Rattus norvegicus: one gene and its partners. The protein of the gene in region 2 interacts with the protein of the main gene of each other region in a biochemical or structural test. Links are inferred from orthologs where the notes say so. Each region holds a gene or a part of one and is shown on either strand. Other genes may lie near its edges. The genes, in order: Tnfsf13, Tnfrsf13b and Tnfsf13b.

The links.
Region 1: the proteins of Tnfrsf13b (region 2) and Tnfsf13 form a complex in vitro, tested with the Homo sapiens proteins (2 studies listed by BioGRID and IntAct). The link is inferred for Rattus norvegicus from reciprocal best matches to the Homo sapiens genes TNFRSF13B and TNFSF13.
Region 3: the proteins of Tnfrsf13b (region 2) and Tnfsf13b form a complex in vitro, tested with the Homo sapiens proteins (3 studies listed by BioGRID and IntAct, with this or other methods). The link is inferred for Rattus norvegicus from reciprocal best matches to the Homo sapiens genes TNFRSF13B and TNFSF13B.

What each region holds. Positions count from the first base shown.
Region 1 is NC_086028.1:54,897,409-54,904,476, forward strand, and holds Tnfsf13 (tumor necrosis factor ligand superfamily member 13), read right to left. Parts: upstream 4,408-7,068; 5' UTR 4,114-4,407; coding exon 3,883-4,113; exon of another isoform or gene 3,572-3,882; coding exon 3,493-3,571; exon of another isoform or gene 3,358-3,492; coding exon 3,310-3,357; coding exon of another isoform or gene 3,237-3,309; intron 3,163-3,236; coding exon of another isoform or gene 3,160-3,162; coding exon 3,044-3,159; intron 2,825-3,043; coding exon 2,686-2,824; intron 2,329-2,685; exon of another isoform or gene 2,159-2,328; coding exon 2,049-2,158; 3' UTR 1,827-2,048; coding exon of another isoform or gene 1,729-1,826; 3' UTR 1,397-1,728; downstream 1-1,396. Other genes in the region: uncharacterized protein Eif4a1l, read left to right, coding at 3,237-3,321; Tnfsf12 (tumor necrosis factor ligand superfamily member 12), read right to left, coding at 5,703-5,954, 6,114-6,238. UniProt on the Homo sapiens protein: Cytokine that binds to TNFRSF13B/TACI and to TNFRSF17/BCMA. Plays a role in the regulation of tumor cell growth. May be involved in monocyte/macrophage-mediated immunological processes.
Region 2 is NC_086028.1:46,298,706-46,305,537, reverse strand, and holds the start of Tnfrsf13b (tumor necrosis factor receptor superfamily member 13B), read right to left. Parts: upstream 4,203-6,832; 5' UTR 4,150-4,202; intron 1-4,149. UniProt on the Homo sapiens protein: Receptor for TNFSF13/APRIL and TNFSF13B/TALL1/BAFF/BLYS that binds both ligands with similar high affinity. Mediates calcineurin-dependent activation of NF-AT, as well as activation of NF-kappa-B and AP-1.
Region 3 is NC_086034.1:86,189,957-86,196,829, forward strand, and holds the start of Tnfsf13b (tumor necrosis factor ligand superfamily member 13B), read right to left. Parts: upstream 4,544-6,873; 5' UTR 4,404-4,543; coding exon 4,041-4,403; intron 3,954-4,040; coding exon 3,869-3,953; intron 1-3,868. UniProt on the Homo sapiens protein: Cytokine that binds to TNFRSF13B/TACI and TNFRSF17/BCMA. TNFSF13/APRIL binds to the same 2 receptors. Together, they form a 2 ligands -2 receptors pathway involved in the stimulation of B- and T-cell function and the regulation of humoral immunity.

The DNA of each region.
Region 1 (7,068 bases), about 8.6 Mb from region 2:
AAGGAACTCTTCAGAGTCTTCCATCATTTCGTCCCTTGTCCAGGTAGGGAACCAAAAGAAAATGACTAACTGGTAGGCCTTAGGTATTTTATTTTTAAGCTCTCTGAATGAAACCCAGTATTTCCAGGCTTCGCTTTAATGCTGCTGTGGGTATCCTTAGGACAAGTCTGAGGGCTACATTGCTAAAAGAGATGGCTCAGCCCAGAAAATCTGGATACGGGTACCTGGGAAGACAACTTTCACCAGGAAAACTTTGGTCACGGGAGGGAAGTTCTCTTTCACCCTGGAATAATAATGGGGGTACGGGAACACACACGCCTTAGTTGTGGGGGAGGGTGGTGAGGTTATGGCTCAGGAAATAAGAGTGATAAGAAAGATGTTGAAGAAAACTGGAAGCGAATAGAATCGGTGCTTAGCGACCGAATTAAGGAGATGGGACCGAACAGAGCAGTGGGGGCCTGGCAGACCGGCCCCTCTCCAGTCTTATCCTGGGAGAACTGAATGCTTCCTAGCCGCAATATAGTTTGAAAGCTTGGGCGACTCGGCACACAACGGTCTTAAGTCCTTTAAAGGGCCTCTTGGGCCCAGTTAGGTGCGAGGGAAGACTAGAAATGGAAGAGGCCACAAGGGCGGGGGGAGGGGAAGGGGCGTCCTCACCAGGAGCGGGGAAGCCGGGCACACGGGCCCCAAGGCGGGTGTCTCCGCCTCAGGCTTTCCGGCTCATCTTTCGGACGGCGGCGACCCCGCCACTCCTGCTGTCCTCAGGCGGAGCCGTTTCAATTCACGAAGCCAAAGCTCGTGCCGCCCCACTGCGGCCGCCTCTAGCGCGGCTTTAGCCTCCACCTCTACCTCCACCTCCACCACCACCACCACCGCCACCACCCCTCCTCCTCCTTCCCCTCCCGCGAGCCCCAGGCCCACCGCCGATGGCGGCGCACAATTAGTGCGTCACACCCGGCGAGCGGCGCCGGCTCGTGCTCAGTCCCGCCTACCTCAGAGCGTCCAGGCCACCGGACGGTCCCGCCCTCGAGCTCTACGCTGAACCGAGCCTGCGCACAGTCGCCTAGGTTGCCGCGTGTGGCAGTCCCACTGCTCGCTCTTTTACGCCTGCGTGTCGCGTCCAGCCTCACGCTCTACGTCGCAGTCGTACGGTACTCCCTGCTCTTCCGTGGCCTGAGCTTCGGGTGATCCAGTGGGCTTCCCAGCGCGTGGCCAGGAAGTCAGAGACCCTGCAGGGACTGGACTGAGGCTAGGCGCTTGGGAGGCGGAGGCGGGACGTTACGTTTTTGTATTTTGATTTTTTTTTTCAACTTTAAGCAGGGCTTGATTAAAGAGTGAGACACGACCAGTGTGCCAGGGCGTCCAGTGCATACAAACTCCCCGAATACCAGTCCGATCTTGTAGAGTCTTTTATTTGTTTGTTTGAAACAGGGTCTCAACCACTGTAACCCCTGGATGGCCTGGAACTCACTATTTAGACCAAGTTGACCGCTAACATAGAAATAGGCCTCCGAGTACTGGGATTAAAGCGGTGAAGCACAATGTTCAGCTCGGAAGTTTGCTAGGGGAATGGGGAGCATGAATGGAATGGATGTCGAGGCACCTAAAATACATTTTTTTTCTAGACAGTAACAAGAATTTGGACGCAATAGTGAGATAGTGAAAATCGGGCTTCTTGTACATTGAAGCAGGGGGCTTGAAGAGTTGTGGCCGAGGGACACGTTTTCCCTAGCAGAGACCGTGTTCTTTCCTCAAACTGCCTCTAGATGGTGGTGCTGTTCTGGATGCAGTCCAGTGGATAAGGCTTGGCACAGTGCACAAAACCCCTTTAACACACACAACAAAAGAATTTGGGGCCATGTGGGAGATAGACACAAAATATTCTACTTCTTTAATATCTATGGAATCAGAACCCAGATAGTGGGATCGGGAAAGGCAAAGCGGGGAACAACAGTCAAGACGTCAAAACCAAGGAGAACGGTTCTTGACCACTTGCTGTCCTTTGTCTAGCCAGTTCTTGGAATGGGAACCCCACCTTTATAGCACAGTCATAGTTTCACAAACCCCAGGAATGTTCCATGTGGAGAAAGGCTAAGTTTTGCGTTTGCCCGAGGAATTTTGACAGTGATAATATCCCCTTGATGTAAGTGAAAGACACCTGAGGGGGGAAAAACATTTCAGATGCTTCATTCTGCCTGCTCCAACCCCTCCTCCATTTTGATTTTTATGTTTTCAGTGTTTTGTTGGGGAACATGTGCATGTGTGGAGGAGATCAGAAGACCACTTAGGAGAGTCGGTTTTCCTTCTGCTCTGTGGCATCAAGCCCAGGTAGTGAGTTGTGAGAGATGGAGCAGGCACCTCTCCTAAGTGAGCCGTCTCACTGGCTTTCCTTTTTAATTTTTTAAACAGCCTCATTCTGTAGCCTGGGCTGATCTTGAATTTTGGGTAAAACTCCCACTTCAGCTTCAAACATGGGATTATAGGCACGGACCTAGTCATTCATAGGCTTGTGCCTTTTCTCCCTGCAAGGACCTGGGAATCTTGTTCTTCAGTCTTCAGTTTTGTCTCTACACCCAAGTTCCCAACTCCCTCGTATAATTCCCCACACCAAGTCAGCTCTGCTTGAGTGGATGTGACCTGCTCTGCTCATTCAGATCAACCCTCTTCAGACCCCACAGTTCTCACCTGCACTGTAGCAGCTGTTGTAGGCACGGTCAGGATCAGAAGGCATACTTTTGATACACCGGAATAGAGTCTCCCTTCTCCCTTGGCCTTCCCGAGATACCACCTGACCCATGGTGAAAGTCACATCATGAAACAGGACCTGTCAGAGGAGGGAGATGCTGAAGAAAACCAGGACGGCACGGTTCAGTCCTTAGGGGCCATAGGATCACTGGTAGTGGAGCCAGGCAATAAGGAGGGGTTGTTCTGGGTTTGGTATGAGCAGAGTGATCAGGGAAACCCTCAGTACAGACAGGGTACATAGAAGAGACAAGCCAGTCTCCATGTCCACATTGGTCGCTCAGGGCTTGTCTGGGATTACCTGACTATATAGCAGATAAATTCCAGTGTCCCGGACTCGAACAGTGTCTCCTTGGGCCTCCAGGCCTCTCCCACGCCTAAGAGCTGGTTGCCACATCACCTCTGTCATGTCAGAGTCTGCTAGAGGTGAGGAGTGTGCAGGTCAGCATTTCTTCACCCTCATACACATGAGCTCTCTCCCTTCTCATTTCTAGGGTTCTCTTGGCCCCAGCCCCACAGTTCCTGGTTGGTGCCCCTCCCAGTGCGGTTATTTCAAATAATGCTTACCCTTGGAGGTAATGTTAATTGGAACAAGATGCAGAACGGACTGCTTCTCTAAGGAAAGGAGGAGGAAACAGCAGTGTTGACCTGCCCCCGGAGTCCACCCTCCACCCTCACCTCAGCTCTGGTCGTCATTCCTCATGCTCCTGGCTCACCTCCAACCCTGCAGAAACCCCAGGGCTCACTCACTCTTGTGCTTCTGGGTGAGTACTGCTCTCCTTCTCCGAGATTTGGCCCCATCCTTCCAGGCTCCCAGGACATCAGGACTCTGCTCATGAAAGAGGGCCAGAGTTTGACTAAGATGTTAAGGATCTTACACAACCTTCCCAGCCCTTCTCAACGCCTGAATGGCTGAAATGTAGGAACCTGTCATAGGCCCCTGGTCTGGGCACTGACTGCCTTTCAGGTGCTCTTGGCATTAATCTTTAACTGTTTATTTTCCTGGAACGGCTGGCTGTTCCCTTGACTTCCCAATCCAGGGCCACCTCTAGCACTCACTTGAAAGTTTGCAGGTTGAGAGGCTCTGAGAGCCTCTGCCATTCACCCTTTACCCCTAGATTCCCATCTCCCTTAACTCACCTGTTCCCAGAGGCTCTGCCATGGAGGCTCTCCCCGCTTCTGGGAAGCTCCTCCACTCCGCTGCAGCCGGCTCACCTCCCGCCTTAGGCTCTGCAACTCTGCTTGTTGGATCAGTAGTGCGACAGCACAAGTCACAGCCCCCAGAACTGCCCCCCAACTCAACCAAAGAGTGACCGAAAGGGCTGGCTCTCTGACTGAGCCTCCCATGTTGCCTGGAGATGAGGCTGGCATGAGCTAGGGACCCTGCTGACAGCTGTGGGCTGCAAGTGAGGTGGCCAGGAGGTAGCAGGGAGGGTGGGAATACAGGCAAAGGCGCAGAAGGGAAGAGCGAGTTACGCAAGGGAGAAATAAAAAGGAACTTGAGAATAGGAAGAAATCAAGCTAGGGTCCTATTAGTCCCCTGATCCCCAGCTAGTGTCCCTCTGACACCCCTGGCCCCCTCCCCCCCAAGCCTCAGGAGAATTTGGTGCCAATTATCTAGGAAGGGCAGGGCAGCCGTGACACCCAGAAGGAGCGGTCAGCGTTCAGGAGCCCAGGGGCGGCCCCTAAGTTGGAGGAGGGAAGGTCGGTTGGTTATGGGGCATGGTGCCAGGGGCAGGGAATGGGGACAAGCTCAGCAGCATGAGCCTTAGAAGGTGAGTGTGGTGGACTCTCTCTCTGCCTGAGGCACAAATGACAGCTTTGAGGAGGCTTGTTAGGGGTGACTGGAAATGAAAAAAAAAGGGGGGCTAGGGGCCAGCAGGGAGGAGAACCAAGGACAAGAAACTGGCAGGGTGCTGGGGTTAAGGCTGGGCCGGGTGTGTTGGAACCAGGCCTGCACTACTCCCTGTGCTGAACTTGGCAAGCCGGACTTCCTGTTTCCCAAGAAGAGTTCTTACATAAGGTTCTCTGGACAAAGAGAAAAGAAAAAAGCCCCAAGCCCCTCAGTCAGCGCAGCACTCCTCCCCACACCCATACGGCTGGCCCACCAGAGCCCTTCCTATGGCTCTGAGCCCCTTCCCGGGCTAGCTCCATTCCATCTCCTAGCCAGGCCCGTGCCAGCACCTGCTCAACTGCTGAATGTCCTGAGGCCGCCAAGAGGAAGGACCCTGCTCCTCCCAGCCAGGGATTCCCCTGCAGGAGGAAGTCCGCTGCTAGGAAAATGAGGCTGCTTCTGCAGCGCCTTGTGCAGAGGACCAGGTGGTTTTGTTGTTGTTTGCATGGTTTTTTTTTTTCTGGTATCTTTGTGATTTCTATTCAAAACTGCAGCTTGGAGGCTTGCAGGTCCCCATTCCCCAAAGCCTAAGATTCCCTTCCCACAACCTTCAGTTACACTGAACCCCAAAGAAGAGAAATCATGATTTATTCTCTTTAATATCCATTTAACATTTTGTCACAATAATAATAAAAATAGTATCTTTTCAAAATCCACAGGGATCCAGGGAGGAGCTTGTCTCCATCTCTTTCCCCTCACATTTGGGAACTTCTGGCCTAGTCCCAGGTTCTTTGGCTTCCTGCCACCAGGTCCAGCCTATCTTGATGCCTGATGCACATAGTCAGTAAAAACAGGGTCCCAGGGTTGGGGCGGGGTAGTCGGGTACGTGGGGGCTTTGGGAGCTCGTGAGGCGGGCAGCTGTGGTGGGGTGGGAGGTTACAGAAGAACGGGAATATGTCTGTGGAATGGAAAACATGTCATCAAGCCCTGGCTGCCTTGGAAGAGAGGACAGGACTGGAGCAAGGAACAGCTAGAGGGTGGAGGAGTGGGCGTGGGGTGGGGAGGTGCTGTGGTGCTCTGGGAGCTGTTAGGTTAAAGTTTAAAGAACCTGGGAGAGCAGGACCCCTCAGTGAACTTGAAAGAGTCCAAAGTAGGTAAGGAAGGGGGCAGCCTTAAGATGAGCCCAGGGGAGGGTACGGATCCGAAGGGAAGACCCTGGCCGCAGAGGCAACAGCCCAGACACCTGGCACAGACGGAGCTGGGGCCCAGGAGAGCTCGCTGCTGTGGCTGAGAATTCTTCCAGGCAGCGCAGGGCCAGCACACCATTCACCAGCAAGTCCAGCTTCAGGTAGACTGCCTTCCCCTCATCAAAGTGCACCTGGAGCAGAGAGAAACCAGCAAAATCCAGACCTCTGCCTGCCCTCATCGAAATCCAGGCATCTTCCTTCATGAAACCCAGGTTCTCCCACTCCCACCCATTCCTTGCCAAGCCTTCCTCCCCTTAGCCATCGCTCTACCCATGGAGCCCAGGGCTTACCTGACAGTACAGGTAGTAGAGCCCAGCCCTGATGACCGTAAATTCCCCAATCTGGCGGTCATAGCGCAGAGGGCTGGAGCTGTTGATTTTGGTCTCTTCCCAGCCACTCACTGTCCCATCCACACCTGGATAGGGGATGTGTAGGGATAAGTAGAAGCCCTTTACCAGACTCCCCCACACTCCCTAAGAATCCATCAAGTTTACATATTTGTGAGGTACAACCTACCCCGAAGGGTATCAGTGGCCCAGAGTATAGGTGGAGCCATGCCATTATGGTACAAGAAGTGACTAGAAGGTATTGTGTGAGGAGACCTAATGTATATGACCAGGGCACTTCAGGGCTTCTGAGGGGATAGAAGAGCAGTGCTGTAAGAGAGAGGCTGGGGTTTTCACATCTATCTCATCAACATGGTTTGTGTCTTGAACATATAAGATGCATGTGCATGTTTGTGTGTACATCATTTGAGTCGATTAAAAATGAGTGACGGGGGCTGGAGAGATGGCTCAGAGGTTAAAAGCACTGACTGTTCTTCCAGAGGTTCTGAGTTCAATTCCCAGCAACCACATGGTGGCTCACAACCATCTTAATAGGATCCAATGCCCTCTTCTGGTGTGTCTGAAGACAGCAACAGTGTACTCATACATAAAAATAAATAAATAAATTTAAAAAAAAAATGAGTGACGGGCCACAGGCTCACTGGCTATGAGTTTAAAACTTCCTATACAAATAGGAATATACGTAGCATCAATGGTGTACGCCTCTAATCCCAGCACTTGGGAGGCAGAGGCAAGCAGATCTCTGTGAGTCTGAGGCCAGCTTGGTCTTAGAGCAAGTTCCAGAAGAGCCAAGAATACACAGAGAACGCTGGTCACAAAACAAAACAAAGTAACATTTAGTGCCCATCAGCAAATGAACAGATGAGCAAACACTGCAGTCCTATCTACTGGGCCTCAC
Region 2 (6,832 bases):
AATCTTTTTTTTTTTTTTTCGGAGCTGGGGACCGAACCCAGGGCCTTGTGCTTCCTAGGTAAGGGCTCTACCACTGAGCTAAATCCCCAGCCGTGAATAATCTTTAAAAGAAGGGTGAAGCTGGGGACTCACACTTCCTGGTTCTGAAACAGTCAGAGCTGCCGCAGTCTGCAGTGTGGTGCCAGCATAGGCAGGGGTCCGACCAGAGCAGATGGTTTCCTTACAGGCACACCAGGAGCATTCAGCAGGGTAAAACCAGTCTTTTCAATGAATAGCGGATATCATTTAAATCAGGGCACCATACATTTAAGATGTGATATCAGTGTTGAAGGGAATGCTGGATAGACACGTGCAAAGGACACGTGTTAAGTCTTTCTATGCTACCATTTTTTTTTTTTTTTTTGGTTCTTTTTTTCGGAGCTGGGGACCGAACCCAGGGCCTTGCACTTCCTAGGTAAGCGCTCTACCACTGAGCTAAATCCCCAGCCCCCTATGCTACCATTTTTAAAAAATAATCTAAAGAGCCAGCTGGACGTGGTGAGCATCCCGTTAATCCCAGCACTCAGATGCAGAGGCAGGTGCAACTCTCTGAGTTCGAGGTCAGCCTGATCTACAAAGGGAGTTCCAGGATAGGCAAAACTGTTACACAGAGAAACCCTGTCTCAAAAACCAAACCAAAACAAAACAAAAAAACAATAAATAAGAAAACAAATAAATAAAAATAAAATAAAATAAAATGATCAGAGACTTAAAAGTCTTTAAAACTAAAAATTGTGCTAAAGAGTTGAATAGACATTTCTCCAAAATTATGCATGGATGAACAACAGGCACAGAGAAAGGTGCCCAGCTCAGCACTGGGCAAAGAAACTCAAACCATCCCCTGCTGGGACTGCTACAGTGCTTAGACAGGGGATAGGGACAGACAGTGAGGACTCTGTGCATCAAATGGGATTAGGCAATGTTGTGACCACTTTGTCAAGTGACCATTATTTAAAAATTCAACCAAGTCACTGTGGCAGCCGGTCGTTCCACACCTAGGTAGCTGTCTAGCCAAAAGAATGAAAGCATACTGCTCAAAAGATAAACACAGTACAGTCTGTCCCTAAAATGCGATATCACTTAGTTGTGAACATGCAGTACTGGCCACGCTACAGCATAGGTAACCTGTGAGAACACGTGAAGAAACAGGGAACACAGAATCACAGCACACACAGAGATTGAGGCTGATGATACAAAGTATCCAAGACCCTCAAACCTCTAGAGATAGGAGAGCTGTAGTCTGCGGCTGGAGGCAGGAGAGAGAAAGATTAATAAGGTTTCTTCTGATATTAGAAACATCCTAAAATTAGGTTGTGGGGAAAGCTACAAAATTGTGTTGATACTAAAAACGGAAATCCTTTATAAATTGGAGTGAGTGAGATAGGCAGGCCAACTGGAGAGAGGCTCCATGACCCACCACAGCCACTTGCGTCAGACCTCGAGACTGACCGGAAGAAGCTGTGTCTACCCTTCTTTCTTACCCACCAGCTAGATCCATGAAAAGGCCAGAAGCACTGCCCAGCCCCTAGGAGGGGCAGGAGACCCCCGAGGGTGACAGCAACTGAGGCAGCTCCTTTGGTGGATGGCAGGAAATTCCTCTTGTAGCCTAGACAGGCGCACTGGGCTCAGATGAACACAGAGGTTTCCGCGTACCCTGAAACCCAAGAGTCGGCGGGTCCTACAATTTCTAGAGGCCCCTGACATGCTTGGCTAGACAGCAGGCTCTGCTTCATGGAAGACTGATAAGGTAGATTAGTTTGTAACCCGCTTTTTAAAAGTCAAGACAGCAGCTCGCCCCACACAGGAAGACCTGTCGTGTCTGCAAGGTGGTGCTCAGGCTCCTTAGCAGGACTGACTGTAAGGTCACTTCTTATCCTGTGCAAAGCAGGAGCTCATCAACTGGCGCTTCTCTTCCAAGCCCCAGACTGATGGATTCCTTACCCCTTAGTCCAGGCACCGAGGAAGGCAACTTTGAATTCGTGCACCTTTTAAAAACTGGACACAGGCTGGGAGGCGAGGGTGGCCCACGCCTTTCATCCCAGCACTTGGGAGGCAGAGGCAGGAGGAGCTCTGATTTCAAGGCTGGTCTGTCTACAGAGAGTTTCAGAACAGCCACGGCTACACAGAGAAACCTTGTCTTCTTGAAGAACCAAGCCAAGGAAACAAAAAGCAAAAATAAATCTGGACACAGGACACGTTTGGCTCCTACTGTAAATACCTTGAAAGAGGAAGGAAAGGCTCAGTTTTCGGTACCAGTCAGGTACCGGTGTGAGCGAGCTGGCCTGTACTGCTGTAGAACCAAACACTCAAGACAGTTTTAAGAACACAAGGCCCAAACCACAGCTTTTTGCTATGAATCCAAATACTTCTGGCTTTTTCTTTTTTTAAATAAAGCATTTTTCTATTTGAGTAAAATATAATTGTTATGTGAAATATATTAAGGTGGTTACTTTCATTTTAATGGATCATCATCATCATCGTCATCATCACCATCATCTCATTATCATTATCACCATCACCATCACCATCACCATCACCATCATCACCATCACCATCACCACCACCACCACCACCACCATCATCATCATCATCATCATCATCATCATCATCATGATGTTTTTGAAGCAGGCTCTCACTATGTAGCCCTGGCTTTTCTAAAACTCATTATGTAAACCAAGCTGGTCTCAAACTCCCAGGGATCTGCTTGCCTCTGCCTCACAAGTGCTAGAATTAAAGGTGTGCACCACTACACCTGGCCAGCACTTTTCTATTTTTAATTTCCTCTCTGTCCAGCAACCGTGTCCACCATGGTTCTATATTCCCATCTCTACCTGTCCCCATCTGCCTTCTTATTTTTCTTGGTGATTATTGCTGATAAAGCAGGGCTGCTTATCCTATAATGTGCCTGGGGTAATTTAGAGAGTTTCCTCCAAGGCAGAGAGGTTTTATTGTTAGCTTTTATTGTTAGGGAGAAAACTATGAACAGAAAGAATGTACGCCTATCTCACGATAGTACAAATATAATAAATATTTAAATAATTATTTTAAATTTTAAATTATTTGAAATATTAAAATTAGTCGAAGGATTCTTTTGTTGTTATTGTTTAGTTTTAACTTCCCAGAACTTTTGCTTGTGACTCTTCAAGAGAGTCTGAAGGGTTGAAAGCAGGTTTGTGGATTTGGGGTCCATTTTGTAGAAGAGACTTTTCCGAGATCAAGGGGCAGTGTACAAACTACGAACAAATGGTAACTTGATCTCTCCACCTGTCCCAGCTCTCCCGGCAGCACTAGGAAGCTGCTATGGAATCCGGTCCGTTCTGCCTGATTCCTAATTCCTGGTCCCAGGCCCTCTGACATTTCCTCTTGGGTCAAGGTGGCTCCTGATCACTGACTCTGCATTCTCTGTGAAACTTAATTGCATCCTTGGCAGACATGGTTGCTGGACAGAGATGGAAATCCTAGCGAAGGCCTGCCTGAGGCCAGCTTGGGTATGGGGAGAGGTGGAGCCGCTGTGAGCAAGGGTCCTGATGAGGAACCTCTCCGCCTTGGAGGGAACTCTCTAAATCACCCCAGGCACACTATAGGATAAGCGGCCCTGATTCATCAACGAAAATCAGCAAGAAAAACAAGAAGGCAGATTGGAACAGGTAGAGGTGGAAATACAGAACCCATTTTCTCCTGTGGGCCACGAAGGACTGATTTGAATCTGTCCACCGAGGACGCACACCGTCGGCACTTCTTGCTCAACACCTATGCTCGTTGGCGCTTTGTGATATTAAGAGTTCTTAGAAATTCACGACAGCTAAGTGAGGGCGGAGTTCTAAATGCTGACTCCCGAGGCATCTAAAATCTACCAGATTCACTTCAAAATAATCTGGGGGCACAAGGAGAAAGTCTGGAGCACATGGATAGAAAACAAAGGTTCTTGCCTGTTTGCCTGACCCCACTCCCCCTGGAAGGCAAGACCTGACCCCTGGAGGCTTCTCCGGTGTGCAGGACTGAGGCTGTCCGAAACCTGAGTAGCCTTATCTTGTGCCTGCGGTGGCACTGCTGGATCCCCAGCCCCCGGAGCACCCTCTTGGCCCTCACCCACCACGGCTGGCTACTCACCACGCTCCTGTGCCAACAGCGCCAGCCTCCTGCCTGCCCTGGCCCACACCACTCATTACTCAGGGCGTTTATTATTAGCCTGAGATTTTGTTAGGCCTAGGCCACACTTCCTGGGTTTTCCCCCTTCGACCTGGGGATGTAAATAAGCCGCCCTGTTGACCTGCGCCTGCGCCTGCGCCTTAGTCCAGGGAGTACAGGTGAGCGACCTGTCCCGTTAGCTTAGCAGTGGGGGCTTAGTCCGGTTGTGTTATGACAGGGCTTGGATAATTCTAGATCTTCCCTGCCCAACTCCTAGGCCTGGTTCCTATCCACTGTCCGCTCTCCAGGCTAGGATGCCCACACAGCTCTTGTGCTCCCTGCATAGCCTTCCCTCCTCTTGGACTATTACATTCTTTGTTTCTGCCTGGTCAGTTCATGCTGTCCCTTCTTCAATGCTCAGTTGAAGCGTCACCTCCCCCAGGAAGCCATCTGTGACTGCCCCCAGGACATTAGGTACCAGTGTTCTGTGCAGTCCCTGCAGATTTGGATCTTGCTTCTGGGTCCGATGCCTTGGTAAGGACTTAGGTATAAAGTGACTCGTACCTTCATGCCCTCATCTGGAAAGTGGGTCCTTGAGTCATTGTGAAAATGACACGAGTTCTCACAGTCACTTGATTGTTCTTTGTCTGGTTTTTAGTTCTCTTGGCACAGGTGTCACTAAGCTGGGCAAGGCTGGCTTGAACTCAAGATCTCCCTGCCTCAGACTCCAGAGTGTTGGGAGTTCAGGTGTGCTCCACACCTGGCCACCACAGGTTCATTCTTACAGCACGTTCTCAGTGCACAGTGACTCCTCCAATAAGGGACATGGGCGAATCAGTGCCACAGCCCTGATTACCCTGGGCTTCAACTCCATTTCCGTATACTCCCAGGTCTCGGAATCCTGCAGGGATAAGAAAGCCCAACAGTTGCCCTCCCAAGTTCATTGTAGTGCTGTTCACAGTAGCCCAGATACGAAGTCAATCTGCATGTGTTCAGTGGATGAGTAGATAAGGAAACTGTGGTGTGTGTAAACAATGGGATTCTCTTCATTCTCAATAGAGAGGGAACTCCTACATTTGTATGAATATGGATGGAACTGGAAAACTTTGTGTATAAAAAAGGAAGTTGGGCTGGGTGTGCTGGCACATGCCTTTAATCCCAGGATTTGAGAGACAGAAGCTGGCAGATCTCGGAGTTCTCTTGACTGACCTACAGCGCTAGTCCCAGGACAGCCTGGGCTACACAGAGAAATATTGCCTCAAACAACAAACAAAAGAAGAAGAGATCACAGTCCAGCAGGGATGAGCACAAAGGCTGCCCTTCAGAGGACCGAGGTTCAACTCCCGGCACCCACACGTGGCTCACAAACATCTGTAACTTGGGTTCCAGGGGACCCAATGCCCTCTTGTCCAAGGACCTCAGACATATGTATGATACACAGACACGTATTCAAGCAGGACACCATACGGATAAAAATTTAAAAATTGAAATCAATTGTTTAAATAGAAAGAAAAGGAGCTGATCATAGAAAAACAAAAGCCACATGTCCTCACTCCTTTGTGAGACAGAGGTCTTATGGCTGGGGAGGAAATCAGGCATCAGAGGCTGTGGAGGGTGGGGATAAGTTGGTCAGAAGGTCCCAGCTTCAGCTAGGTAGTTCTGTGGATCTGTTGTATAGCAGGATGACTACGATTCATAGTAATATGCCATGTAGCTCAAAAGAACTTCATTACTGCAGTGCAGCTCAGTGGTCAAGCATGGATGAGAGGCCCTGGGTTTATCCTCAGCACCGGAAAACAAAATGGCTCATACCCTTAATCCTAGTGCTCAGGAGGCTAAAGTAGAGGGATCCAGCCTGGGCTACATCGTGGAGAGTATGGGTTGGGAGACAGAGAGACAATTTAGGAGCTGGAGGTTGGGGATATGGCTTGACATTCACAGGGTCTTGGGTTCAGTATCCAGCACGGAAGAGAGGAGGAAGAGAGGGAAAGAGGGCGAGAGTGAAGAAGGGAGAAAGGGGAGAGAGAAGGAAGGGAGGGTGGGAGAGAAAAGGGGAGGAAGGAAGGAAAGGAGGAAGGGAAGAAGGGAGGGAGGGAGAGTGGGAGAAGGAAAGGGAGAGTGGAAGGAAAGAGGGAAGGAAAGGAGGGAGGGAGAGTGAGAGAAAGAATAAAGGGAAAAGGGTGGAAGGAAGGAAAGGAGGGTGGGAGGGAGAAAGGAAGAGAGGGAGAGAGGGGAGAAAGGAAGGGAAGGTGAGAGGAAGAGAAGAAAGGAAGGGAAGGTGAGAGGAAGAGAAGAAAGGAAGGGAAGGTGAGAGGAAGGGAGGAAGGAAGGGAGGAAAGGAGGAAGGGAAGAAGGAAGGGATGGAGGAAGGGAGGAAGGGAGGAAGGGAGGAAGAAAGGAAGGGAGGATGGGAGGGAGAAAGGAAGGAAGGGAGGAAGGGAGGAAATAAGGGAGGAAGGGAGGGACAAAGGGGGGGACCAAGGGAAGGAGGAAGGAAATTAACTAAACTGTGACAGTCCAATGTCATCCACCAGGTTCTAATTCTCTGAAGGATGATCCTGAGACAGGCTGCAGGTGTGCTAAGGAGACATGAACATCCTTCTAATGGAACCTCTGGTTGCACAGAACCATTTTAGGTCACTGTCTACCCAATACTGACCCTTGA
Region 3 (6,873 bases), on a different chromosome or scaffold from region 2:
AGGCAAAGTGACCCAAGTTGTCCGATCATTATTTGGCAATAAAGTACAGATATTTCTTTCAGGGTTGTGAATTTTAAATGATCCTAGTCCTTGTTCTCTTGTGATCTTTGGGCCCCTCTGCCCTCCCTTATGTCTCATAATTGTCCCTGTTTCCACCTCTGCTTTGCCACTGCTACTGTTGCAGGAGCTTTGATAAATGTTATGCGCAGAATAGTCAATACAATGTTTCTTTAAAAGAGCTTTGTCTTTTTAGAATCTAAAACAGTTATTTCAACTTTCCCTGTAGACAGACAAGTGAGGAAATGCTGAAGTTTGATCCTGGGGTCCCGTGCATGCAAGGCAGAAGCTGGACCAATGAGCTGCCTCCTCCGGTCCCGTGCATGCGAGGCAGAAGCTGGACCACTGAGCTGCCTCCTCTTTCCTTGTTTTATTTTGATTTGAGGCAGGATTCACTCGGCTGCCTCAGGCAGGGACTGAACTCATCATGTGATCCTCCTTCCTTAGCTCCAGAGTAGCTGGGATGACAGGCTAATTTCGTTTGCCCATAAGCTGTTTGAAAGAAGTCACCTTCGTAGGCTCTAAAGATATTCTTATGTGGACTGTGAAACGGATAAAATCATAGCTTGTGAAGGGTCAAAGCACAGGCCAATGTGAGGGCAGTTTTAAGGAAACTGGATTATGTAATATTTTCAGATTATGCTGCTTTAGGTTTTTCTCTTATTATTATTAAGAATCTTTCCAAACACATTTAAAGGATTAAGAGTGAATTGTTGGTTATGATAAGCTATTTGGCAATTGTTTAATCCTGGATTTCCCCACATTTCTGTTTATCGTATTGCAATAAAATGACCTTATAAAATGCACTAAGCTTAATAAAATATAATTCAAATTCAAAATAACTTAAAAAAGTATGCCAAAATGCTGTTTTAAAATTAAGTAAAAGTACTCTATCCCCAGAGGACTCAGAGGACTTGTGTGGGTCTGCCTTTCTCTTCTACTGCTGTCAGAAGAGAGAGAATGGAGATACCCACAGCTCAGAAACAGATGTAAGCAGTTCCCAGTAAAAGCCTCAGCGGACACTTGTGAAAGTAAAAGGAACACACCAAGGTTAGTTCAAGTCCAAGAAAACAGTCAGAACAACCAGGTGTAACAAAATTTACAAAAATAAACACGCTTTTATCAATAAAAAAATAAGACTCCAGTAAACCAATAGAAAATCCTTGTGTTTCAGATAACTTTTGTGGATTAGTAGATAATCACAGTGGTCACTGATAAAGTACGTTTCCCTAATTCAGAAGGAGAGTATAGGAAACAAGAGTCGATACTTTAATTGTCCAGGAACAGGAGACATTTCCCTTCCTTGAGACTCAGATCTGCAACTTTCTTATCTTGGATTTATGAGTATTGGGGAAATATAAATGAAGAAAAAACAAAATATGTGTATCATATATTGACAGTACATTATTCTTTAAATTTTACAAATTATTAATTAATTTTCCTCTTCCAGTTTCGTCAGCCTGAAATATTTGGATGCACAAAATCACAAACCTATAAAATATGCAAATGTGAAAATTATTTAAAATATATCATTATAGGATATTTAACCTAGTCTCTCTCTCTCTCTCTCTCTCTCTCTCTCTCTCTCTCCCCCCCTCCCCCACTCCCCCTCTCCTTTTTCTTCCTATGTAGCCCTGTTGGTCCAGAACTTTCCATATAGATCAGGCTGGGTGTTGAACTCACAAAGTTCTGCCTGACTCTACCTCCCACGTGCTGGCATTAAAGACATACACCATAATTCTCTCCTATTCTTTACTCTTAAACCTTTTAAAATGAGTCTATGTCCTCTTTAGAATGGCAAAGTTATTTTTGAAACCAGTCTTTAGGAAGCCTGGAAGTGTAGGAGACATGACTTAAGATCACTGTGGCACCCTGCCTGACTGTGTATTGATGTCCACTAAAATGTAAAACTACTTAGTCCATATGAAGCAGAAGGGTAGAGGAAGAAGCTGGCGATAAAACTATCTCACATAAATTCAGTCGCGTATAAAGAACTTGATGCCCCAAGTTCACCAGCACAAGCATTCTGGAGAACACTTTCATGCTTTTGTTTGAGACAACAGCCTGAAGCGGGATGGAGAAAGGAGGAAGTTATACCAGTGTGAGAGGCTTTACCACAATAAGAGACACAGGATTAATAGGTTAGGAGCAAAGGGACACTTAGTCAAAACAAGAGGCAAGTAAAGGGGATCGTAGCTTGCTACTTAGGGAGCCAGGGGCTTTAACTTAAACCAGCGGAAACAAGAATCTCTTTAATAAACACACCACACCTCTCTATAGGTTTGAAGAAAATACAAGACGCAGTGCAAGTATTTACATCAACGTCAAATTGTAAAAAAAAAAAAAAAAAAAAAAAAAACATAGGCTAGATAGCCAGCCAATCGACAAAACTTAAAAAAAACATAAAATTGAAAGTAAAATAAGAACACGTGAAAAATATTTACAATTAGAGAATGGGGTTCACACTTAAACTTGAGAAGCAAGGCGAAGCTATAAAACTATCAAAATGAAGGTATAAGGACGGAATGCTAATGAGTACATAGAAACCTGTGACCCAAAGAGTTCAGAGTAAGAAAGTCGAATAATAAACTATGGTTCTATCGAATGCATAATTCCTCAGAAACAAGAGATACACAAAAAATTTGTGTGTATCTTGTATCAATCACAGTAACAATAAAATAATTATTTAAAAGACAAATAGTAGATTAGACCAAGGGAATTACTAAGAAGTCTGTGAGATACTTGTTGTAAAATAAAAAACAGAATAAAGCAGGGTATAGTGCTTATACAGTTATATGTACTGTGATTATGAGCTATTATTACATACACCGTAATATATAGCATGTGATGCTCTGTAACTGTGTGCTATTATTCCCTCATTGTGGCATGTGTGCTAGTATTGTATACATCGCACTATATATGCTAAAATCATTTCAGCAAAAAAAGATAGAAGGTCACTCACACTGAATACAGTAAATTTCAAATTTGTGCAAAATGTTTAGTTCTGCAGTGCATGTAATAACTCCACGCACTCTTTTAGCATGTAACTTAGAACTCAATAATTTTTGTTGTTTATTTTTAAGTCACTTAATAACTTAAAGTTAATTTTAACTCAGTTGAAATTATTTTAACTTATTTTTAGGTATTTTTAACTCGGATTATCGGGTAAATTTTTTATAAGAATAAAAAAGCAGACAACAGCAGGGATGTGTTAAATCGTATTGCTAACAGACAAGTATTGCTTCTTTTTCCCCCATGAAGTAAGAAGAAAAGTTCATTTTTAGTAGCTCCCAACTCTGCAAAACGCTAGAGAATGGACAGAAATCACCAAAGCCACAGCAGAATGATTACGCGGGAATTATGTTGCATGTGGCAAGGGTACATTACAGTCTTTGCCATTTCTGTGTGGTTTGCACCTGCCCCCACCGTGTGAGTGTGCGCGTGTATGTGTTAAGAAAAAAATTAGTAAACCCTCATAATGCAGGGTTTGTCCTACCTCAACTTTGCTAGAACAAGGGAAATCTGAAAAATGCTAGGGAATGGCTTCTTAACCAAGATCCAGGTGGTCACATGACTCTGCGGTGACAGGAAGAACTCTGCTGCTAAGTTCTTGAGCACACCATCACTGTGAGGGATACGTGCACCCTATCCTCCTGTCCACATGCCCTGCTCAGTGTAGGGGAAGGCACGCCACGCAGCCTATTGCATTTGCTACAAAGCCACACAAAGTGCTTTGCTCACCGCCGCCGCCGGGCGGGTGCAGGTGTGCACAGCACCGCCCCAGCTCCTAACTGCTGTGCCCCAGTCATACCTGTTTCCTCCGGTCCCTGGAAAGCGCGTCTGTTCCTTTGGCCTCGGCTGGAGTTGTGGGGTCCAGGAGCTGCGGGTGTTGGGAGCTGGGAATAGAGACAACCAGTTACTGGACAGCAGCAGAGTGTCATACCTGGTGCTCCTGCACAGGCAGAGCGGGGGAGTGAACTCACTTTGACTCCCGCGGACAACCCTGGAGCCCCCGGGGCGGCGGGTGTCGCTGAACTTCGGTAGCTCTGCAGCTCCATGCGCAGGCTCATCAGGTCTGCTTGCAGGACAGCCAACTGGTACAAGGACATCGCTGTGAAACTGCTGGACAACAGAGCCAGCAGGAGGGTAGCAGCCAGCAGCCGTCTGTCCCTGCAGATCCCAACCCAGGCACCCTCCTTCTGCGGAGTGATGGGAACATATCCCACTTTCATATCTTCTCCTTTCTCAGGGCAAAAACAGAGGCGCGGTGGTGGCAGGTTCTTTGCAGACTTATCCATTCCAAGAGGAGCACTTTGAAGGTCTGGGCCTTTGGAGTAAGTGACCATGGGGGTAGGTCATTTCCTGTCATCTGTGTCTCAGGAGGCTGCCCTCAGAGCATGGCACTCTCCTGACTTTCTCTCTTCTGCATCTTTTGCTACCCTGAAGTAGGTTCTCTGGCTCTGGCCTTCCATTGATTGCTCAATCTGTCTTCCGCATTTCACTTTCAGTTTTTGTAAGATTTTTCATTCTATCTCAATATAGTCCTGTTTGTGGGAGATATGAGGCCTCTGACACGACGGCTGGGAGCAGCTTGAGATTCAGACTGGCTTACTCCAGACAAGTTTATCGAAGGTGCTTTCCCTTCGGCATGCCCTTAAGAACTGTCTACTTGGAGCCACATGGTTTCTAAGGAAGAGGAAAGGGGACACTGAAGGCCTAGTGGTGTAATAAAGGATAATTAATGTGCAAGTCAGATAAGCCCAGTGCTCGAGCATGAACTGCATTTGGCTGCAGGACAAGGAAGCTAACAGCTCCCCGGTGGAAGACGAAATGGAGTGTCATAAAGCGGAGTGAACTCCACCCGAAGTTCTCTGCTCTCATCTTGACATGACAACGAAGAGAACGTGGTAGAGATCTATTTAAGGCCACACTGGGGACTCTTTAAATGTGGGGTGGATTACAGGGAAGCATGGCTTCCTCTTTGCCTTTGAGACTCGGTGTCAGAGAGCTGTTAGGCTCAGATCTCTCTCTCTCTCTCTCTCTCTCTCTCTCTCTCTCTCTCTCACACACACACACACACACACATACACGCACACACACACATACGCACATACGCACATACGCACATACACACATGCACATACATGCACACACACAACGCACATACACATGTGTGCACATACATATGCACACACGCACACACACATGCACACACACACACGTGTGCACACACATGCACACACGCACACACCGTGACCTGTGCTAGGAGCTGATGTAGGATCTCCACATTGATGGCACTCATTTCACAGCTATGGACACAGAATGTCTTCAGTCTGTGCTTGGGCTTGGTGACATGCAGACACTGTTTCATTCATTTTAGTCTTTCCTGGTCTGGAAGGCTGGTTGGGGGCCTGGTACCTCAACATCCATTTATCTTTCAGTATAGGCCATTGAGGATTTAGCTTAGTCACTGTATAAACTTCAGGCTGCTGGGGTTTAGCCTTATGCTGCCTTCCCTCCTAAGCTTAAGAAGAAAATCTCAGAAACAAGGATGCACAGCTGCAAGAACTCCAGAGGGAGGCTTCCCAGCCACCCATCCTGCTTCTGTGCCTGGCTTTCCCTATGTCAATTACAGAATTAGATCAGTTTCTTTCTTCCTTTCTTTCTTTCTTCCTTTCTTCCTTCCTTCCTTTCTTTCTTTCTTTCTTTCTTTCTTTCTTTCTTTCTTTCTTTCTTTCTTTCCTTCTTTCTTTTTCTTTTCTTTTCTTTTCTTTTGCAAGACATGGTTTCTTTGCATATCCCTCGATGTTCTGGAACTCTCTCCATAGACCAGGCTGGCCTAGAACTCAGAGACCACCCCACCTGCCTCTGCCTCCTAAGTGCTGGGATTACGGGTATGCACCACCACCACAGCACAGAGGGAGGATTCTTGCTGTGGTACTCAGTGCTAAAATTGGTATTTTTATGATTGTCACAGTAATATCTGCAGGGGGTCCCCACCAAGACACATCTTCCCTTTTGCAAAGTGTCAAAAAGAAATGCTGTTGGATTGTCATTTCCCAACTCATCCCCGAGTGATGCTAGGAGTCTTCTTCATTGGGACTGCAGGCTTTCCTTTCTTTCGTTATGTGAGTTCTAAAGAACTTTGTAAGCCAGTGGCTGCAATCTTTACCCCCCAAACGAGCTGTTCTCTAATCTCCAAAGTGAAAATAGGATATTAAGTATGTGGGTGACTTTTCTTTTTTTTTTAAATTTTTAATATTTTATTTATTTATTATCTATGAGTACACTGTAGCTGTCTTCAGATACACCAGAAGAGGGCATCAGATTTCATTACAGATGGTTGTAAGCCACCATGTGGTTGCTGGGATTTGAACTCAGGACCTCGGGAAGAGCAGTCAGTGCTCTTAACCACTGAGCCATCTCTCCAGCCCCGTGACTTTTCTTTAGGTCTGACATCAAACGATATTTGGGTGACTGAGCTTCAGTCCAGCATCACAGGCAATGACTACTGGTAGTAATAGGGACCTCCACTCAGAGACTAAGACATTAAGACTCACTCATGAGACTTAATGGTAGGATTAGAATTCCACCACATGATAGGCCGAGATAGGAGGATTGTGAGTTCAATGTTAGCCTGGGCTCCATAGTAAAACACTGCTTCAAAATCAAGCACATATCTCAGTCATGTTTTATTACCAAATGACGTACAGAAATTAAATGACTAGAAGGAGTGTGAGACCAAGACACAGCACCTTCCTCTTGGGTCTCTGTATAGTTTATTCAGAGGGAGTTATCTAGCCGGGCTAAAGGACA